Linked DNA regions of Cricetulus griseus. The protein of the gene in region 1 binds, or shares a complex with, the protein of each later gene. Links are inferred from orthologs where the notes say so. Each region holds a gene or a part of one and is shown on either strand. Other genes may lie near its edges. The genes, in order: Pdpn and C-type lectin domain family 1 member B.

Region 1 (3,822 bases):
TATGCAGCCAGGTATGTTTTAAAAACTTTTCAAATGATCCTATGGAGCTTTTCTGGTCTACACAGGATGCCCAACTGAATGCTTTAGTTGGGAAGACACTGGCTCTTTACCGGAAAGGGAAGGGTAGGCATGTACATGTCCAGCCCCAGCTGGCAGCTTCACCATGTGTCTCCGTTTTCCTTTGCATCTCAGTGGAGACAACCAGATCATGGGGTGTGTCAGAGGCTCCACAAGGACACTGGTGTGGGCCCTGGTACTGTGACTGGTCAGAAAGGACCACACTGTACACACTGTAAGAAACATAATTGGGTGTGGCTGTAGGTGGCCAATTGGCTCCACCCATATCCTTTGCAAACTGAATCCCTGACTGGCCTTTCTTTTTCAGCGGCCATAGGCCCACTAGAAGATGATATTGTGACCCCGGGTACAAGAGATGGCCTGGTGACCCCAGGTCTAGAAGACAGAATAGCAACCACAGGGGCTACTGGAAGACTGGATGAATCTACTGGCAAGGGACCTCTGGTGAGTGCCTAGGGACAGGGGGAGTTGGCGCCAAAGGCAGGCTGTGACATGCCACAGTATGATGTATACTTATATGTGAAATCAGCGGCTGTACAACAAAATAGTGGCATGGCTCAGGACAGAAGGTACATCCAAGTCTCATCCAGGGACAAGGGAGCTGGTGTGGTGGGCACAGACAATCTGAGAGCAGTAGAACACATCTTCTCAAAGTAGTAAGAAATCAGTTTAGTGTTTGCAAACCTGAGCCTCATGAGGCCAGGTGTTTTGGCACATGTGTTTAATCCCAGTACCCAGGAGGCAGAAGCAGGCAGAGCTCTGTAAATATGGGCCAGCCTGGTCTACATGGCGAGTTCCAGGACAGCCAGAGCTACATAGTGAAGCTCTGTCAATTAAACAAACAAACAAGCTAAAAAGGACTAGATTCCGGGAGGTTTGGTAGGTTCCTGGGGAGGTGGGAGGGGGTCACCTAGAGGGAGCATGAAAGCCCCAAGCCAGTTACTATATACCTAACTGTGTATCTCTTCACCCAGATCATTTGCTCTATCCTCAGTGATGAGCAATAAAAAAGTTAAAAAGCCAACACTGGGCTGGGGAAATGGCTCAGTCAGTAGCATGCATGCCTTGCCATCATGAGGACCTGCGTTTGATCCCTAAAACCCATGTAAAAGTTAGAGGGGATGGTACCTGCTTGTAACCCTCGCTCTGGAGATACTGAGAAAGGAGAATCCCTGGGGTCTGCTGGCCAGCTAGCCTAGCCCAATAAGCATGCCCCAAGACAGTGAGAGTCCTGTCTCTTGAAACAACAAACACACATTCACACACATCCACTGTGTAGAATGATTTTTTTTTTTCCTTTGGGCCACCAGCTCAAAAAAAAAAAAAAAAAAAAAGACATGGAGACTTATTAATTATGAAAACTTGGCCTAGAGCTTAGGATTATCCCAATAACTCTTACAACTTAAATGAGCCCATTTTTATGAATCTACATTTTGTCTCATGGCTTTTCTTTTTTTTTTTAAAGATTTATTTATTATGTATACAACATTCTGTCTGCATGTATCCCTGCACGCCTGAAGAGGGCACAGGACCTCATTATAGATGGTTGGGAGCCACCATGTGGTTTCTGGGAATTGAACTCAGGACCTCTGGAAGAGCAGTCAGTTCTCTTAACCTCTGAGCCATCTCTGCAGCCCAATGTCTTGTGGCTTTGTAACCTCCCTTCCGTCTTGCTCCTCCTGTTTCCTCTCAGTCTCCCCATGTCTCTCTCGTGCCCTCTCCTTTTCTCTCTCTCTGCCTGGAAGTCCTGCCTAACCTCTTCCTGCCTAGCTATTGGCCATTCAGCTCCTTGTTAAACCAATCACAGTGACATATCTTTACACAGTGTGAAGGAAATTTCCACAACACTTCACCCCCTCCCCTACATACGTTTACTCTTAAAACCAGAACCACTTCCTAGCCTCTGCCGTCATGGAATGGCTGTGAGGGATCTTTCCTGCAGGAAGTCAGCTCACATTATGAAACCTCTTCAGCTTTGTTCATTGAATTTACTTTAGAAAGTTGCCTGTGGTCTACTGAGAATATTGAGAACGTATTTAAAGGGCCTGGTACAAAGGAAGCTGTCGGCGACAGTGAGCTGTCCCCCTCCACGTAGTTCTGCCAAATCGGTGCTACAAGAGGAAAGTGCTATTCCAATTCTAGGGAGAGAAAATATTAGGTGAGCCAGTTTGTTTTTTTGTTTTGTTTTGTTTTTTTGTTTGTTTGTTTTGTTTTGTTTTCAAGAGCTAAGGGACAGGAAGTCTGCATGCCCAACATTTAAAAGTTCATTTCTGGACTGAACCTGGTTTTACCCCTATCTCTACTCTTTCTTGTCGAGAACAGGGTTTCTCTGTTTAACAGCTCTGGTGGTCCTGGAACTCACTCTGTAGACCACGCTGGCCTTGAACTCCTAGAGATCCACCTGCCCCTGCCTCCCAAAGGCCTGCAGCACCACTGCCCAGCTCCACCTGCACTCTTGTTTGTTTGCATCTGGGATTTATTCTTGTGTGTTTTGAATACATGCTACCTTAAAATATTTCCTTTAGGAAGTCAGACACTGTATGGTTTTTTGGTTTTTCGAAACAGGGTTTCTCTGTATTGCTTTGGAGGTTGACCTGGAACTCACGCTGTAGACCAGGCTGGCCTGGAACTCACAGAGATCCAGCTGCCCCTGCCTCCTGAGTGCTGGGATTAAAGGCGTGCGCCACCAATGCCCGGCAACACTGTATGTCTTAAATACGAGCCTTTATTTTCTCTTTTGCCTTGCTCACTCCTAACAGGTACCACACACAAAGATTCCCTTTGAGGAACTGCCAACTCCAGGAACCTCAGACCCTGATGGAGAAGAACATAAGAGTACAACCACTGTCAGAATGGTGACTAGCCACTCTGCAGATAAGGAAACAAGTCACCCCAACAAAGGTGGGTCCACTCTTACGGAACCCATGAAACCCAGAAGCAGAAGAGTCAGAGACTGAAAGTATAAATTCCATGCCAAGCTTTGTGTGCTGGGTACAGAATCCAATATCAACTTTAGTTTACTGGCTTTCTGGGACTATCTCTCAACCTTGAATTGTAACTAGTGGCAACTCCCTGCAAGGGCCAGCCGCTGGCTCTGGGTGTTGCGTTGCTGACCCCGAGTTAAGATTCTTGTGTTAGCCGGGCATTGGTGGTGCACGCCTTTAATCCCAGCACTCTGGAGGCAGAGGCAGAGGCAGAGGCAGAGGCAGAGGCAGGTGGATCTCTATGAGTTCGAGACCAGACTGGTCTACAAGAACTAGTTCCAGGATAGGCTCCAAAGCCACAGAGAAACCCTGCCTTGAAGAACCAAAAAGACTCTTGTGTTAATGCATACTTCCAGGTGCAGGTGCCAGTCTGGCTTTAAGAACTCTACAGTACTTGCAAGGATTTACAAAATGATTTTACATCCAGGTGTGGTAGCACATGTCCATAACGCTCATTTTCTGAGGCACAAGGATTGCAAATTGGACACTAGCCTGGGCTACCCAGTAAGACTTTATTTGTCAAAACAAAATAATAGCATGGGACTGCAGGAGATGCTGCTTCAAGTGCAAAACAAAACCTTGCAGATTGGTATGCCTGTGTACAGATCACTATCCACAACATTTAACACATGGAAGCAACTCAGTATTCCCAAACAAATGAATGGAGAAAAAATATAATATGTACACACAGTGGGATATTACTTAGCCCCAAAAGAGAAATAAATGCTTACAGATGCTATAATATACGTGAGGCGAGTTC
Region 2 (3,537 bases), on another chromosome or scaffold:
CTGGTAAGTCTGGCTTGGAAATGTCATCCCTCCAAGCCCTGTGTGTCTGTTGTGGTAACAGGAGGGAGGCCCACCAGAGCAGGCACACTGCACCTGGGGAAAGCTGCAGCCGGATTTTGACAGCCCCAAATTTGGTCTCCCCTTCAGAGCACAAGTGCAGCCCCTGTGCCTCAAGGTGGAGATACCATGGAGACAGTTGCTATGGGTTCTTCAGACATAACCGAACGTGGGAAGAGAGCAAGCAGTATTGTGCTGAGCAGAATGCAACGCTTGTGAAGGCTGCCAGCCAGGGGACTGTGGTAAGGAGGGTCCCATGTCAAACATACGGGAACTTAAGGAAAAAGCTCTCAAATGAAACATGGAATCTGGTTTTTTTTTTCCTTTCTTTTTAAAAATGTGTTTCTTAATGGCTTGCACTTGGTGCTCCTCTGAGAAATTTAGGAAGCTTGATAACAAATACAGAGCTTACATATTCAATCCAGTAATATTCCAGAATATCACAACAGTGTTTCAGTGAGACTGGATTGCGTGTGCCTCCATGACAGCAAAAGTGGACAGTGGGTGGGACAGGATGAGTCAGCAGCGGGTGACACTCCCATCACATTTATTCCAGTTTGTGTGCGTTTCTGTCTAAATTCATAGAGAAGGTTAAAATTAACGAATATATTTACCCAGTCAAAACAGGGGCGTGTCCTAGCATGTCAACTCCATTATAAAGAGATTGCACAGAGACATGAAACATGCTACGACTCCCATCATTCCAGACTGACACCACTTGAAAATCTGTAAGATAACAAAAGAAGTATCACCATTTTAAGAAAAAAAGGTTAAAAACCAATTGGATTTTTCCATCAAGTCCAACAGGGAGGCATCTTGGGCAGTGTGGATATGTATCTATCTATATGGTCATGTTTTAGAGAAAAGCGATTGATGGATTAACAGAAAGGCGGTGGGTGGCCCAAGTGTCTCCTGCGCAGTGTTATTCTGTGTGTTACACTTCTGCCCACAAGCTCAAAACAATTTTGTTTTGTTTTGTTGCTTTCAAGGGTGAATTCTTGTCTGCTATTCTGGGATGCATGAAGGCATAATGAATATTTGGCTTCCTTTTGCTTTTCTCTCCGAGAGATTGATTGTCCATTCATCTAATAGTCAATCTGTATGCACTGGAACCACTCTGGGACCTGCATCTATGTACTCAATAAAACCAAAAGCGATGAATTTAAGAAAATTAGCTGGGCAGCCTTTAATTCTAGCATAGGAGATGTAAAGGCAGGCAGATCTATGAGTTTGAGCCTACCCAGGTCTGCAGAGTGAGCTCCAGGACATACAGGGATACACAGAGAAACCCTGTCTTGAAAAACCAAACAAAATAACAAAAATAAATTATAACCAGGCAGGAAAAAGTAAATCAGAGCCAGATGTGGCAGTGTATGTTTACATAGTGATAGCTCAGGCTAGAATTACGTTTGGGGCCAGCTTGGGCTACACAGTAAGAATTTATCTAAAAGGAGAAAGAAAGCATAGAAAAATGTATATTTGGAAAGGTAGAAGTTCTCTATTCATGCAACTAAAACAAATTAATATTTCTGTATATAAGATAATCAATAAAATCCAAGAACTTAATTCATTTTGTTTCTTGTCATCTGTAGTTGCATTCATCCCAATTGAATCATATTTAGGGGTCTCCCTGGAACTAAAATTTTTAATTGGTAGAAAATACAAAAATACATTATAAAAACATAGGAAAACTAGAATATTACCTATATAATGCAATTTATCTTGTGCTCTATACACTTTTTAGTGTCTCAAAACAAACTAGCAAAATCCTAGACATGAAATATAACTCATCAATAGCAACATAGGTGTGTAATTTCAGATGCTTGCTTGAGGCTTGTGTCACTGTCATTGCACAGTGCTTGTGGAGGCACTTACCATTTTATGGATTTGTTTGCAACAGGAATACCTCACAAGCAGGATTACTTCTGTCCGTTGGATTGGATTATCACGTCAGAACTCTAATAAGGACTGGATGTGGGAAGATAGCTCAGTTCTTCCCAAGAATATGTAAGTCTCTGGTAGCTCAGCTTAGAAGGCGTTACTCAAAGCTTCAAGTCACATATTTCTTGTAGAACACAAGTTGCCTGAAAGTCGAGATGTCTCTCTACCCCACTATGGGTTGTAGCTGTCAGTCACATGTGACTAATCTCTCTCTCTCTCCCCCTCCCTCCCTCTCTCCCTCTCTCTCTCTCTCACCCCCTCCCTCCCTCTCTCTCTCTCTCTCTCTCTCTCTCTCTCTCTCTCTCTCTCTCGTGTGTGTGTGTGTGTGTGTGTGTGTGTGTGTGTGTGTGTGTGTGGTGTGTAAATTGGCCTAATTCTTTTGTGCTTTGAGAATAAATTTCTCTTTTTCATTATTTTATGGTTGGAGTAATTACCATCAAGTTTATTTTCACTATCTGTTCGTCCTGTGGGTCTCTACAAACCAGGTAGATTGTAGATCACAAGGCAATTCCAATGCTTTACAATAAGTCTCCACACTTCTAATGGCATTGTAGGCAAATGACCTCATTTCACCGAGTTGTGTTATTCAATATGGCTCTGTCTCACCTTAATTTTTTAAAATTTAAAATTTAGTATGTGTGCATGTGTGTATGAGAGATAGGTAGGGAGAGAGAGAGAGAGAGAGAGAGAGAGAGAGAGAGAGAGAGAGAGAGAGAGAGAGAGAGATCCGCATGCCACATTGTATGAGAGTGTAGGTCAGAGGACAACTTGGGGGAGTTAGTTAGTTAGTTTTATCCATCCACCATGTAGGTCCTGGAAATCAAATATAGGTCAGCAAACTTGCAAGCAAACACCTTTCTTTGCTGAGCCATCTTGCTGGCTCTCAATACAGCTCTCTAGCCACTAGTTTCAACATCTTTTGTTTATTTGGCACAACATTGCACTCTCTCTGTCCAGAATTTATAACAAAAGCTTATACAATTCTATCATTATTTAAATAAATAACTAAGGCAACATGTATTTATTATTTACCTTGGACAGAATCTCAGACACACAAATACATACAAACCTGCAAACCATGGCCCTTAACTCTCATTGCTTACTGCCTTGCTCACAATATTGCAGGAAAGTGGTGTTCTTTCTAAATTCTCAAGGAGTCAAGTTCCCCTTTTCCTCCTAGATTCCATGACCAACTCTTTTTTTCCCCAAGAAATTATTTTTTATTAGTTCAAATTAGAAACAAGCCTGCTTCACATGTCAATCTCTGCTCATTCTCCCCCCCTCCTTTCCCACTCCCCACCAGCCCCCCACCCCAAACTCCCTCTGTTCCCCAGGGAGGGTAAGGCCCTCCATGGGGATCCCCAAAGTCTGTCATATAATCCTGGGCAGGGCCTAGCCCTTCCCCCATTTTTCCAGGCTGAGAGAGTATCCCTCCACGTGGAATGGGTCCCAAAGTCCTTTGTTACTCTGGGGATAAATACTGATCTACTACCAGGGGCCCCATATGTTTCCAAGGCCTCCTCACTGATACCCACGTTC

The links.
Region 2: the proteins of Pdpn (region 1) and C-type lectin domain family 1 member B are in contact, whole or in part, in a crystal structure (PDB 3WSR), measured with the Homo sapiens proteins. The link is inferred for Cricetulus griseus from reciprocal best matches to the Homo sapiens genes PDPN and CLEC1B. Residues at the interface, in NP_006465.4 of Homo sapiens: Ala46, Glu47, Asp48, Asp49, Val50; in NP_001380271.1 of Homo sapiens: Arg107, Phe116, Arg118, Arg152, Thr153, His154, Leu155, Arg157.

What each region holds. Positions count from the first base shown.
Region 1 is NC_048595.1:9,940,136-9,943,957, forward strand, and holds part of Pdpn (podoplanin), read left to right. Parts: intron 1-385; coding exon 386-522; intron 523-2,837; coding exon 2,838-2,979; intron 2,980-3,822. UniProt on the Homo sapiens protein: Mediates effects on cell migration and adhesion through its different partners.
Region 2 is NC_048601.1:16,667,921-16,671,457, reverse strand, and holds part of C-type lectin domain family 1 member B, read left to right. Parts: coding exon 1-3; intron 4-147; coding exon 148-299; intron 300-1,957; coding exon 1,958-2,064; intron 2,065-3,537. UniProt on the Homo sapiens protein: C-type lectin-like receptor that functions as a platelet receptor for the lymphatic endothelial marker, PDPN.